Linked DNA regions of Nothobranchius furzeri. The protein of the gene in region 1 interacts with the protein of each later gene in a pairwise test. Links are inferred from orthologs where the notes say so. Each region holds a gene or a part of one and is shown in the gene's direction. Other genes may lie near its edges.

Region 1 (4,519 bases):
GAAAGATCCTTCGATGCAAGATGTTGGTGAAAATTAAAGCTACACTGGATGCAAACATATCTTGTGAATTTGCAGAAGCTTATTGAAACAACCTCACAGTGAATGGGTGCTGTAGTCAAAGCTAAAGGTTGTGCAACAAAGTATTAGGTTGTGCAACATTTTCTTTTGGTGGCAACTTTTTTTCCTTTAGCTCCAAAGGGCAGCAGTAGCTCAACAGGTTGAGCGGGTTGTCCAGTAATCGAAAGGTATCATGTTTGATCCCGGCTCTGGACAGAGAATTCTGCTGTTGTGTCCTTGGGCAAGACACTTAGCCCACCTTACCTGCTGGTGGTGGTCGGAGGGACCGGTGGCACCTGTTTTTGGCAGCCTCGCCTCTGTCAGTGCGCCCCAGGGCAGCTGTGGTTACATCGTAACTCATCACCATCAGTGTATGAATGTGTGTGTGAATGGATGAATGATACATTGTAGTGTAAAGCGCTTTGGAGTCCTTACTCTGAGAGGTGCTGTACAAGTGTGGGTCATTTATCATTTAAACTGTAATTCTATCTGTGTGTATTTTACTTTGTGTTTTTATGTGTTTTCATACCATGTCCTGATAATTGTAAAACACATTGAATTGCCTCTGTGTTTGAAATGTGCTCTAAATAAAGCTGCCTTGCCTTTTGCTGGGCAGTGTACTAATCAGCTAGTTGTTATTCTTCTGAGATTCTTATATTTTGTCCTCTTTATCAATTCGATAGGCAACGTTTAATTTTAACTGAAAAAATGGTTTCAAAAACTGTCAGAATTCCTGACAGTCTTCCCGTTCCGCTCTCTCCTTTTCCAGGTGAAGCTGTGACGCAGGGGCTATGGATGGTGATGATATTAGTGTATCACTTGTTTGGGTCTCAACCTCACTCATCTGTTACTGAATAGGTTCAAACATCGATGCTGTTTCTATGGAGCCACTTGACCCAGTAAAACTAACAGTTTTATTATAAAGATAAAGTTTCTTCTAGGACGCTTAAATCGGAATCGTGATCAGTTCGTTTCATCCAACTTTACAAGCCAAAAAATGTTTTTTTTCTTATTCACTTTATTTGTTCAACTGATCATTTTAAATTTGAAGCTATAATCCTGACAGCGACAGACGCTGAGGCGGGATGATGTGTGGAAGAAGAGTGTGGGTGCGCACGGCTCGGGTTTGTTGCGCGGCCACTGGAGCAGCGGTGAAACTGATCCCAGCTGCTACTGTTGGAGGGGGAGGAGGGGTGAGGAAATCTATTCCAGTCCCCTGTGGGTTGGTCACGTGCCCTCGTTTGGTTTGGGGGAACCGCGTCAGGAGGGAGAGGAGGAGGAAGCGCGCAGCTGCGCACAGCTGAGTTGGAAAAGCAACATCCTTCAGAAGCGGGTCCAGAAGATCCACATCAGTTGTTTTGTTGTTGTTTTGGGGCGTTGTCACGCGGTGTCTGCTGATACGCTGACACAACGCGTGTGATCACTGTGGCACTGCCTCGTTGAAACTTCTCTGCTCACGAAAACTACCATCCTGTCAGCGCCTGCCACAAGTCGACCTCCAGAAACACAGAGGGAGAGCTGTCACCGGGGACCGAGGTAGGCTTTCTGTCTCTTCCTATGGGGGCTCGGGGTGTTTGGGCTTGAGAGAACCGGAGCTGGACGGGTAAGCAGTTTGTGTGTGTGTGTGTGTGTGTTTGTGTGTGTGTGTGTGTGTGTGTGTGTGTGTTTGTGTGTGTGTGTGTGTGTGTGTGTGTGTGTGTGTGTGTGTGTGTGTGTGTGTGTGTGTGTGTGTGTGTGTGTGAGTGCACACAACTGATGCAGAAAAACGTCTCAGATTAATCAGCAAATGTACTCAAGCAAATTTCTCATTAGTGGTAAATTTTACATCTAGTAGTAATTATCTCTTTGCGCATGTGTTAGATAGTCTACAGTGATATTAGGATGTATTTAGCAACCTCTATTCATCGTTTTCCCCCAAGTGCCCTGCACTGATCAATAGTGACATTGTGTATTGATTGAGATGACATGACCTGAGCTGAACCCTGCTGTTAGCGCATTGTGGATGATACTTATTGACTTTTACTGTCAAAACTGTCAAATTTATGTTGTATTTTTATGTAAATAACAAAACTATAGATGTTATTGGATGATGAAGTAGTTGATCACTGAAATAGGATTTTTACCTTTTTGTGTTGGCTCCAGTGTTTTAACTGTTGAAGTAATGCTGCTGGTGACAGGAGACAAAAGCTGGTTTGAGTTTGGCCTCCAAAAAGCTGAGTCTAACATTCCCCCCCCCTCATTAATAATGCACCAATTTTAAACAATACAAATGCAGGGAAGCGGGGTCCAATGTCGAGTGTTGCTTCTCTCTATTTCTTATGTTTAGATGATGAATTCTCTATTAAATAAACTTTTCCTAATGTGAAGAGGACACATTCCATATGGGTGGTCAATGTCGATCAGCCATGGAGTAGAGCGTTGTGCTTAATGAACTGGTGTTTCGCCAGCTTCTAAAAAGTCATTTATGGGCCCGATCGTTCTTGCTCTCTTGTTGCTGGATGATCACAGCCTTTAATGAGACAGGTCTTTGTGCATGGGGCTTGACACTCTCTGAGACAAGGCTGCTAGTTGGGTGAATACAGCTGACACCCTCATCCGTCAGGCACCCACAGGGTGCTGCCTACTTTCTCACTCTATCCATTTACTGCCTCTTTCTCTCGTTTTCAGGCTTTCTTTCACTCCTGCGCTCTCCCACTGCACCCTCAGATGATAATTATTAAGACTTTATAATGATGACATGAGCAGTGAGGGTTTTTTCCCTTCTGTGGGGAGGAATGGGTGTTGGTGTCTACACGCTGGGATGATTATAGTTGTGACAGAGGGTTGGAAATCATTGCAGTTGAAGCATTGACTTCCTAGAATAGTTCAGCCAGGTATCTGTTTATCTCTGTGTTTGTTTCTGAAGCTGGAACTCTGTTCTCGGACAAAGCAAAGGAGGATCAGCCTTTTACCAAAGAAACATGTAAATATTAAACAATGTAAGATTTTAAAAAAGTACATGTTTTTATTTGTTTTGATTATTTGAGTTTTTGATTGTTAACTTGAGATGATAACGCTTAAAGAAAGATGCTTTACTACTTATAGGTTATGAATATGTAAAATACACACATAAAATACACACATAAAATACACAACAGCAGTAGCTCATGTGGTGGAGCGGGTTGTCCAGTAATAAGAAGGCTGCAGATTAAATCCCGGCTCTGACCAGAGATTGCTGCTGTTGTGTCCTTGGGCAAGACATTTAACCTGCCTTGCCTGCTGGTGGTGGTCAGAGGGACCGGTGGTGCTTGTGTTTGGCAGCCTCGCCTCCCTCAGTGAGCGCCAGGGTGGCTATGGCTATATTTTAGCTCATCGTCATCAGCGTGTGAATGGGTGAATGACTGATTGTGTTGTGAAGTACCTTGGGGGGTTGTAGAACCCTAAGAAGGTGCTAGGGTCTGTTTCTGAGCTGCAAGGCCTAGCTTGGTCCTTTGCAAGGCCAAGTGTCCACACTAGGGCTGGACAAAAGGATTATTTTTGTAATCAATTAATCTAGCGATACTTTTTTCGATGCTTCTAACTAATCTGTCAACTTAATTAGATTTCAATTCGATTAGATTATCGATTATTTCCCCATTATTTGACTTCTATAGCAATTTGAGTATTACTAATGTATGTATCTCAATGAAATAAACACACATTTCTTCATTTGAACACATTTTATTAAAAAAAATTCTAAAATAAAGTTGTTGTAGTAGTAGATGACGCACCTTATATCTATATGATCAACAATCTGGAGGAGCATGAAGTATAGAAAATAAGTTCAAACAGGATGAGGTATTACACTTTACAATCAAGAGTTCATTGTCATTTTGCTTTAGCAAGAACTTCAACAATGTTGGAATAGTGTCTACGACGGCCGTGACATTATCTTTAACATTTTTACTTTGGCCAATTTGCGCTCTCTCACATTTTCGGCTCTCGGCAACTCTCATAATCAGCATGTGCGCATTCAGAATTATTTTGCCAGCATGAGCCACAAATAAAAACCAACAAAACAGGTAACAGCTGCTGCTATTTGTTACCGCTATAGCAGCTTCAATGAGTTGAGGTTGAATGTTTTTCTCAGTGTGTGTGAGTGAGTGAATGAGACTGTGAGTGCGTGGGTCTGCTCGTGTGTGTGAGTGAGTGCATGTCTACGTGGGGGTGTTTGGATGGTAAATAACAGCGTTAAAATTTGAGAACTTACGATGTATTTTTGTTTGAAGGCACTGCTCCTGGATGCCGTTGTTTGATGTGCTGGTGAATGGCCGTCGTGGTTTCGTCATAGGCCATTTCCATTTTACAAAGCTGGTAAATGACTGAATCGCTTCCTTTTCTGTTGAAGTAGACCCATACTTTTGAACTGTGAGTGATTTTCGCCGACCGCCTCACTCATGTTGTCGCTACTCGCTGCTGCCGTGTTTGTTTTGAACGTGATGAC
Region 2 (4,470 bases), on another chromosome or scaffold:
CTGGTGGGGAATTGCTTTGCAACACTCCCCAGGAGACGGAGAAGTATGAGGGCAAAACATCTCCGCCCGTGCGTGCGTGTCTCTCCCTTTTGGAGCTGACGGAGAAGCATGAATCAGGCTTTAGCCGGAGGTCCACTTCTGTCGTCCTCTTTCAGTAAGATTTTTTAAATTGGGTTTTTTGTGGCTCACTACTTTTGGGACACGAAAAAAAACATTTGTGCTTGTCATGACTAGAGTGATTACAACAACCGTAGATGGAACAGAGTTTGGGGATTTTGACGCCGAGTCAACAGAGTAATGCATTTGGTGACGTGGACGCTACGCCATGTGAGACCCAGTAATGGAGGCAATAGAGACCCACTTGGTTGCAGCAGTCAGACACTTGAGCTGACAAAGCAGCGCATTAGGGAATGAAAACAATTTTATTTATTTTTTAAGGGTGCAATTTGGCCAATGATATTTATAGCTGTGGGTAGGGCTGGGCGATACGGCCTAAAATCAATATCACGATATATTGAGGAGTTCACCATAATGGCGATAAATGGACGTTAACTACAGGTATGTGTAGAAACAAAAGTTGTCCACTAGATGGGGCTGTCACATGTATTACGTTGAGTCACATTTTTACGAGACTCGAGGTGGACATGAATGTTGCCAACCTGCACACATCTTTTCATTTTTTTATTATCAGATTTATTGACATGGGGACAATGATCTCGATAAGAGTCAGAAATTTCGATGATGATACATTTTCAATTTATTGCCCAGCCCTAGCTGTGGGTGTGTTTCGCTCATTTTCTGCCCCTCACTTACCCTCTTGTGCATGTGAGACATTCTGATTAGCCGGCTTCCTGCAACAGCGTAATGCATTTTATTGTAATGTGTACTTAAAAGTGCGACTTCTCTTTTAAAAAGAACGCTTGAATTTTTCTGATGGCTGAAACCTTTGCAGAGTTATGGTAAATCAAGTATACGTGTAAAATATTTAGGCTTTTGTCCGCCTTGTTAAACAACAGTGGGGGAAACTGTTGAAGCCAAATTCAAAATGACTCGAAGGACTTGAAGCCTGAATGCACCTCTCCTGACATCATCACAGGCAACAGTCATTCCGAGCTTGAGGTAAAAATAAAGAATTAAAGTTTTAATGGAGGATTACCTGTGGATTAGACAACAATAACAGAGAGGAGGACAAGGTTCATGTGTTCTTATCAGTTCTGTGGAAGTACAGCGTTGGCAGGGTAGGGACGGGACCAGGACAGAGGTGAGACAGCTGAGGAATAAATGAGAAAGCGACAGGATTACGGGACACCTGTGTGCCTCACTCACCTGGATCCTGTCCCAGGCTGAGCTCACCTGTGGGACAGGAACATGTTGGTCCTCTCCATGCTGGTTTTGCTCACACTCTACAGCCTCCTCAGGAGGAGCAACAACCAACTCAAAGGTAGCTCAGAGCATGGAGGTGATGCTAATGGACCAGGACAAAGTGGCGTGAAGGCTGTGAGGAAGAGGAAGGGGGTCCGTGTACGATGTGTCTCCTCATCCAGCAGGAGGCCAGTTGAGGTGAGGAGGTCAAGGTCTGGAAATATTCTGAGATTTTAAACATTTCTGCAAATCAGGATAGAAAAGGGGGTGTTAGACAGAAAATGGTCTTTGTCCTCAGAACTTCCATGAACCCTTGTGCAGCCTTACTTCTCAGTCTGGCCAGTTTGAAGTGAGCTGGTCCCAGTTCACAGCTGAGTTCTCCACTTAGTGACGGTGGCTCAAGGGTTAGGAGTTCGCCCTGTAGCCGGTTCAAACCCCAACTGCGTTTCGATCGTAGTTGTGTCCTTTGGCCGGACACTTCACCATAAGTGTCCAAATTCAAGAGCTGCATCAATCATGCCTAATCGGTCTGCGTAGCCTTGTCTTTTTGTTGAGCAAGTTTGCGCATGTGTGAGTATATTTTTAGCTGTTTTAATTTTATTTTTTCTGGTTTCCAGAACAAGTGATCTAGGCAGCTGGTTCTGTGCTGGGTTCTGCACGAAGGGCCATTTTAGTCTGAATTTTTTGAAGCCAACAAGGAGTGGCAAAAATTGCAGTTCCACCCTCATCTGCTAGGGGCTGGCACCAGAGCAGAGCAAGTTCCCGTTGACTCCCATGTAAAAAATGCTAATTTCACAGCAGAAATAAACATGTTTACAGCCTGGTTCAAAAAACATTTTAGGTTTAATAGATATGGGCCAAAGGGGTCGGGTGCAGTGTGTGACGGGTGGTAGTCGAGGGCGGGGACCTTGTCGGTCTGATCCTCGGCTACAGAAGCTCTTTGGTGGGGAAGGAGCCTGAGTTGGTGTGTGAGGTTGAGAGGTTCCAACTAGATATAGTCGGACTCACCTCAGCGCATGGCTCTGGCTCTGGAACCATTTTCCTTGAGAGGGGTTGGACTTTCTACCACACTGGAGTTGCTCCCACTGAGAGGCGCAGAGCAGGGGTGGGCATACTAGTTGCCCCCCCATCTTGGTGCCTGTACATTGAGGTTTACCCCTGTGAATGAGAGGATAGCCTCCCTCCGCCTACGTGTGGGGGGACGGGTTCTGACTGTGGTCTGTGCTTATGAACCAATCTACAGTTCAGACTACCCACCCTTTTTGGAGACCTTGGAGGGGGTGCTGGAAAGCGCTCGCTCCGGTGACGCCCTCGTTTTGCTGGGGGACTTAAACGCTCATGTGGGCAACGACAGTGAGACCTGAAGAGGTGTGGTTGGGAGGAACGGCCCCCCGATCTGAATTTGAGTGGTGTTTTGTTATTGGACTTCTGTGCCAGTCATGGATTGTCCATAATGAACACCATGTTCAGACATAAAGGTGTCCATATGTGCTCTTGGCAACAGGATACCTTAGGCCGCAGCTCGATGATCGACTTTGTTGTTGTTTCATCTGACCTGCGGCCGCATGTCTTGGACACTCGGGTGAAGAGAGGGGTGGAGCTGTCAACTGACCACTACCTGGTAGTGAGTTGGCTCAGTTGGTGGGGGAGGATGCCGGTCAGAGCAGGCAGGTCCAAACGCATCACGAGGGTTTGCTGGGAACGTCTGGCAGAGTCTCCTGTCAGAAGGAGCTTCAATTCCCACCTCCGACAGAACTTCCAAAATGTTCCGGGGGAGGCGGGGGACATTGAGTCTGAATGGACTCTGTTCCATACCTCCATTGTTGAGGCGGCCGACCAGAGCTGTGGTCGCAGGATCGTCGGTGCCTGTCGTGGTGGAAACCCCCGAATCCGCTGGTGGACACTGGCGGTTAGGGATGATGTCAAGCTGAAGAAAGAGTCCTATCAGGTCTTTTTGGCCTGTGGGACTCCAGAGGCAGCTGACGGGTACCGGCAGTCCAAGCGGAACGCAGCTCGGGTGGTCGCCAAGGCAAAAACCCAGACATGGGAGGAGTTTGGTGAGATCATGGAGCAAGACTTCCATACGGCTTCGATGAGATTGTGGTCCACCATCCGGCGCCTTGGGGGGAGAAGCAGTGCGCTACCAACAATATCTATAGTGGGGACGGTGTGCTGCTGACCTCTACTCAGGCAACACATTCTCACATCCAAGGTGTCAAAATATGACGCGTGTGACCAAGCCTCAATATATGACGATTCAGGACGCCCCAGCGCGTCAGGAGACGACGATCAGGGAGAAACTGCTGACGCAGCGTCCCAGAGCTCGGTATCCAACGCTGGTGCTGAGACGGACATTAGAACTACTTGTGAACTACTTAACCTTCCCCTCACCCCAATCCTAACCTTAAGGTCACAGTTTATGGACCTTAAGGTTAGGGTTAGGATTGGGGTGAGGGGAAGGTTAAATAGTTGAATAATGTCCGTATGACCGCCCGCGTCAAACAGTGACGCCAGCAGAGCCACGTGTCCTAGCGTGTCCCTGATCATCGTCTCCTGACGCGCTAGGGCATCCCGAATCGTCATATATTGAGGCCTGATCACACGCGTCATATTTTGACGCCTTGGGTGTGAGAATGTGTTGACTCAGGACGTTGTGGATCAGTGGGCAGAATACTTCGAAGACCTCCTCAATCCCACTGAAACGTCTTCCAGTGAGGAAGCAGAGTTTGAGGACTTTGGGTTGGCCTCTCAAATCTCTGGTCCTGAGGTCACTGAGGTGGTTAAAAAGCTCCTCTGTGGCAAGGCTCCAGGGGTGGATGAGATCCGCCCGGAGTTCCTTTAGGCTCTGGATGTTGTGGGGCTGTGTTAGCTGACGCGGCTCTGCAATATCGCGTGGACATCAGGGTCAGTCCCACTGGACTGGCAGACCGGGGTGGTGGTCCCCTTATTTATAAAGGGGGACCGCAGGGTGTGTTCCAACTTTAGGGGGATCACACTCCTGAGCCTTCCTGGTAAGGTCTATTCAGGGGTTCTGGAGAGGAGGGTCCGTCGGATTGTTGAACCTCAGATTCAGACGGAGCAATGTAGTTTTCGTCCTGGCCGTGGAAC
Region 3 (4,450 bases), on another chromosome or scaffold:
CCAGGCTGACCCGATACAGATGGGAATGGCCCATTATACTCGCTCCCACCTAGCAGGAGGCTCTGATCCATTCAGACCAGAATCGCTAGCCACAAGAACAGTTTCTTCCCCTCCACGGTCAGACTCATGAATGCCAATCGTAGACCTGCCCACTGCAGTTGCTTTGTTTCAGTCACCTGACCCTGTGTTGTGTTATCACGTAAACTGATCTGCTCTGATCACTACCTACACTGACTTGTTTATTGTAGCTGCTTCTCTAATTATTGCCTCCCTAAATAATGGTGTTTATCATGTTGTCTACCTTTTGTTTGCCTGGCAGGCTGGAACACTGAGCGGGTCCAGGAGTACTTTGTTTGGGCCTCTGAGGTGGTGAAAGGCCTGAAAGGAACTAACTCTGCCCTGGAGGGGAAGCTGGAGGACTTGTTCAGAGAGGCATTCAACTCTGATGGCAAAGCCACACGTCTATACTGTTAAAATGACAACTCAAATGCACCTTTATGAGTGAGCTTCAGAAAAAAAAGAAAGAAGTGTGAATGTACTGTCTGCTGCACTGTCATTTGTATTATTGTCAAATTTTTAAAGTCATGCAAACCAGAACAGAAAATTAAAAGAATAAAAACATATGACATTTCTTTTATAAGTCTGGTTCATTGTCATCAAACCTTTCAAATAATTTTCACACAGACACAAAGTTTTTTTTTTAGATAAGTGAAGAGTTGCTTATTAGAAAGTCAGTCAGATTAGCCTTTTGTTTTTAAATAAACCATGATGCCAAAGTTACAAGCCAACCTCAGTCCATCCTATTACTCTGTTAAGGGTCAGGGCGTGCACTTATTTATTGTGCTAGTAAATTGAACTTGCCTGGAGCAGAAGAAATGTAGTTTGTTAAGCTGCCTGTCATTTTTGTAAAAAAAAAACGGAATGTTTGATGTTGGTTATATTTGTTAGGGTGAAATCGGGTTTCTGATCATAATGAAAAAAAGCTTGACTTGAAGGCCTATCATGCATGAAACATAAAAACCACCAAGGGGCGGTGATTTACAATTTACAATTTAATCGATTTTAATTAGCTTGATGGTCATTTAGAAAACACGTTTATAAAAATGCATAAATGTCAGTTTTGTAAAAACAATTTAATGTGAGACGCTTTCCTGTTCATTTGATTCTTGAGTTTTTGGTTTTTCTCTTCGGAACAAATGCACTTCCTGTCCGTTCGCGGAAGTTGTTCAACTTCCGGTTTTGAAACGAAGCAGCCAAGAGATTGTTGAGACTAAGCGCAACATCCTTTTATTTCACGTCCATAGTTTTGTGTTGTTGACCGGGCAGTCATGTCTAGTCACGAAAGCGTCAACATGAAGCTCCCACCGATCCAGTCCACGGCAGGAGCCGTGCCCATCCGGAATGAGAAAGGTGAATCGTGTTAGGGTTAGCTTCCATGCTAATGTAGCATCTGTTATGTAGCGTCAAAAAACGCGAGTTAAGTTTCTAAATAACTAATTCATTACTCAGCAAAACAAGCTGAAAAGCAATTTTGTGATGTTGGTTTTTTAAGAGAGTAAAATGTGTGTGTGTGGTGGGAGTAACAGTTTAAAATCTAGAAATGGAGGAACAACTGACAGTTTACATTTTTTTAAACAAGATTCAAGATCTTTGATGATCCAACACAAATGTTTATAAACAACTGGAAAAAATATATTTTAAATAGCTTTTCAACTTTTTTACGTGTTAGATAAGTCATCTGTTAAGTCCCTTAAAAGTATTCATGGGCTTTTGTAACGTCATTTATCTGTCTACCTAATAAGAGCTTGTCTGAGACATTAACTCGTTGTTTTAAGCTTACGTCTGAGTTTTGGGGTCATTTTATTACTCCCAAGGGCGAGGGGTATGCTGTATCTGTCTGATTTAATTTAAATAAATCTGCAACATATTGTTTTACGTTTTTTATGGTTGAGTGTTTTTTCCTGTTTAAATACTCTTGTACTAAGCTTGAGGAAGTGTATATAATCATGCCCTTTTCTGTACACAATGTAGGTGAGATCTCCATGGAGAAGGTGAAGGTGAAGAGGTATGTGTCAGGTAAACGTCCAGACTATGCCCCCATGGAGTCGTCAGATGAAGAGGAGGAGGAATTCAAGTTTGCTAAAAAGGGAGTGGAAATGGAGCTGGAGGTAGAGCAGCAGGAAGAAGATGTGAATGACCCACGTCTCAAACGTTTGCTCAATCGAACTTCTGAGGACGTGGAGGAGAGGTATCACTCAGTTTTTCTGATTAAACTCAAATTCTGTCAACATTTTGAGTCAAAATGTTTCCCGTTTGTTTGTGCTCAGGCTCGCAAGACACAGACAGATCGTAGAGCCTGAAGTTGTTGCTGAGAGCAGTGAGGACTCTGATGAAGGCACATGGCACCCTGAGCATCAGGAGAGCAGCGACGATGAAGAGGAGGAGGAGGAGGAAGAGGAGGAAGAAGTGGATGATGAGGTAGCAATTGTGCACCAAAAAAATAAAATCCTTTTAACTTTTTTGTTGCATTTTGAACAAATTATTAATTTGCTCATCGTGCTTGTGACCAGGAAATTGAGAGGAGGCGAGCAATGATGCGCCAGCGTGCAATGGAGAGGAAAAATGAAGAGATGGAAGTGATGGAGGTGGAGGAGGAGGGGAAGTCAGGAGAGGAGTCTGAGTCGGAGTCAGAATATGAGGAGTACACAGACAGTGAGGATGAAGCAGAGCCGAGACTTAAGCCTGTTTTTATTCGCAAGTGAGAACTAAACTAAAAATGTTTCAATAAAAATTCCAGATTCAGAACACTAGCTCAAATGTTTTTTTTTTGCACTGCAGAAAGGACAGAGTCACTGTGGCAGAGCGCGAAGCCGAGGAGCTGAAGCAGCGAGAGCTGGAGGCCGAGGCCAAGAGGCAGGCAGAGGATCGGCGGCGCTACACCCTCAAGATTGTTGAGGAGGAGGCTAAGAAGGAGTTTGAAGAGAACCGGCGCTCGCTGGCTGCACTGGAAGCTCTGGACACTGACGGGGAGAATGAAGAGGAGGAATATGAAGCCTGGAAGGTCCGAGAGCTGAAACGCATCAAGAGAGACCGAGAGGCCCGGGAAGCGTAAGTAAACTGCAGGATTCCAAAGGATTTATGGTGAAAGAGTGATGCAGTTCTCTTCAGGACGGTCATTTGTGGTGTTTTGTTGTCAGAATGGAGAGAGAGAAGGGTGAAATTGACAGATTCCACAATATGACGGAAGAGGAACGCAGGGCGGAGCTACGCAACAGCGGCAAAGTCGTCACCAACAAAGCCTCCAAAGGCAAATACAAGTTCTTGCAGAAATACTACCACAGAGGAGCCTTCTTCATGGTGAGTCCCAGCAGACACAAGAGTCCTTTTCACGGGATTGTCACCAGGATTCATAAAAAAGCAAATTTTTAAGACAACCAAGAGATTTTCCTAAAATCTTCATTTACAGCTGCAGTGTCTTTTCTTTGACAATTATTGTGTGATAAAAACGGCGTACCCTTTCTTATAACACCTTTATTATTTAGATGTCTGTAAATGACAGGAAATCCCACCAGATTCTGAAGGAGGTGATCGTTTGTGATGGGTCACCAACAGGTTATACGTGTAGGGATTTATTGTGTGGTTTTTGTGTGTTAGGATGAGGAGGAGGATGTTTACAAGAGAGACTTCAGCGCTCCTACACTGGAGGATCACTTCAACAAAACCATCCTACCCAAAGTCATGCAGGTGAGACCCTTTCGTCTTGGGGTGCAACGAAATGAAACTTTGGGCTGATGTCGATATTGTTATGGCTGATAATCGATATTTGTCGATGCGACATATACAGGCTGACATTTATGCTTCTGAAGTCAGCAGATTTTATGGAGACTTAAAGTTATGTAAGCAGAAATTTTGGACGTCTTTCTTTTTATATATATTCAGTTAATATCGGTCCAGTTGTCCTTATCAGACCGATACCGATATGTAAAACATAGATATTGATGCCGATATGTCATGCATCCCTGCTGTTTTTTTGGACCACAGGTGGGGTTTGAAAGTTCATCTTTGGAAAAAAGATTGAATTTCTCATGACCTTTGAACTAGCTTGTCATCTAAATGTGCTTCAGTCCCGCTGTACATGTAGCCTTTGTGTGTGTCACTGGTGTGAACGTGGTAGAAATGACACTTTTTGTGCACATTAAGGTGACATCCCCACAATTGTAACTTATTTTCTTCCCATTAGGTCAAAAACTTTGGTCGGTCAGGACGCACAAAGTACACCCACCTGGTGGACCAGGACACCACGTCATTCGACTCTGCGTGGGCCCAGGAGAGCACTCAGAACAGCAAGTTCTTTAAGCAGAAGGCAGCAGGCGTGAGGGACGTGTTTGACCGACCCACGGTGAAGAAGAGGAAGGCATAAGACGCCTCTTTCCAGTGAAGAGACTGAGGA

The links.
Region 2: the proteins of mid2 (region 1) and kifc3 interact in binary tests that used the Homo sapiens proteins (3 or more experiments, as listed by UniProt). The two-hybrid records come from large-scale screens. The link is inferred for Nothobranchius furzeri from reciprocal best matches to the Homo sapiens genes MID2 and KIFC3.
Region 3: the proteins of mid2 (region 1) and mfap1 interact in binary tests that used the Homo sapiens proteins (3 or more experiments, as listed by UniProt). The two-hybrid records come from large-scale screens. The link is inferred for Nothobranchius furzeri from reciprocal best matches to the Homo sapiens genes MID2 and MFAP1.

The regions. Positions count from the first base shown.
Region 1 is NC_091741.1:89,376,001-89,380,519, reverse strand, and holds the start of mid2 (probable E3 ubiquitin-protein ligase MID2), read left to right. Parts: upstream 1-1,456; 5' UTR 1,457-1,593; intron 1,594-4,519. UniProt on the Homo sapiens protein: E3 ubiquitin ligase that plays a role in microtubule stabilization. Mediates the 'Lys-48'-linked polyubiquitination of LRRK2 to drive its localization to microtubules and its proteasomal degradation in neurons.
Region 2 is NC_091749.1:65,919,607-65,924,076, forward strand, and holds the start of kifc3 (kinesin-like protein KIFC3), read left to right. Parts: upstream 1-1,233; 5' UTR 1,234-1,368; coding exon 1,369-1,560; intron 1,561-4,470. UniProt on the Homo sapiens protein: Minus-end microtubule-dependent motor protein. Involved in apically targeted transport. Required for zonula adherens maintenance.
Region 3 is NC_091749.1:30,004,264-30,008,713, forward strand, and holds the start of mfap1 (microfibrillar-associated protein 1), read left to right. Parts: upstream 1-1,213; 5' UTR 1,214-1,328; coding exon 1,329-1,410; intron 1,411-2,031; coding exon 2,032-2,248; intron 2,249-2,327; coding exon 2,328-2,478; intron 2,479-2,570; coding exon 2,571-2,758; intron 2,759-2,838; coding exon 2,839-3,108; intron 3,109-3,197; coding exon 3,198-3,357; intron 3,358-3,654; coding exon 3,655-3,744; intron 3,745-4,240; coding exon 4,241-4,420; 3' UTR 4,421-4,450. Other genes in the region: hddc3 (guanosine-3',5'-bis(diphosphate) 3'-pyrophosphohydrolase MESH1), read left to right, coding at 320-474. UniProt on the Homo sapiens protein: Involved in pre-mRNA splicing as a component of the spliceosome.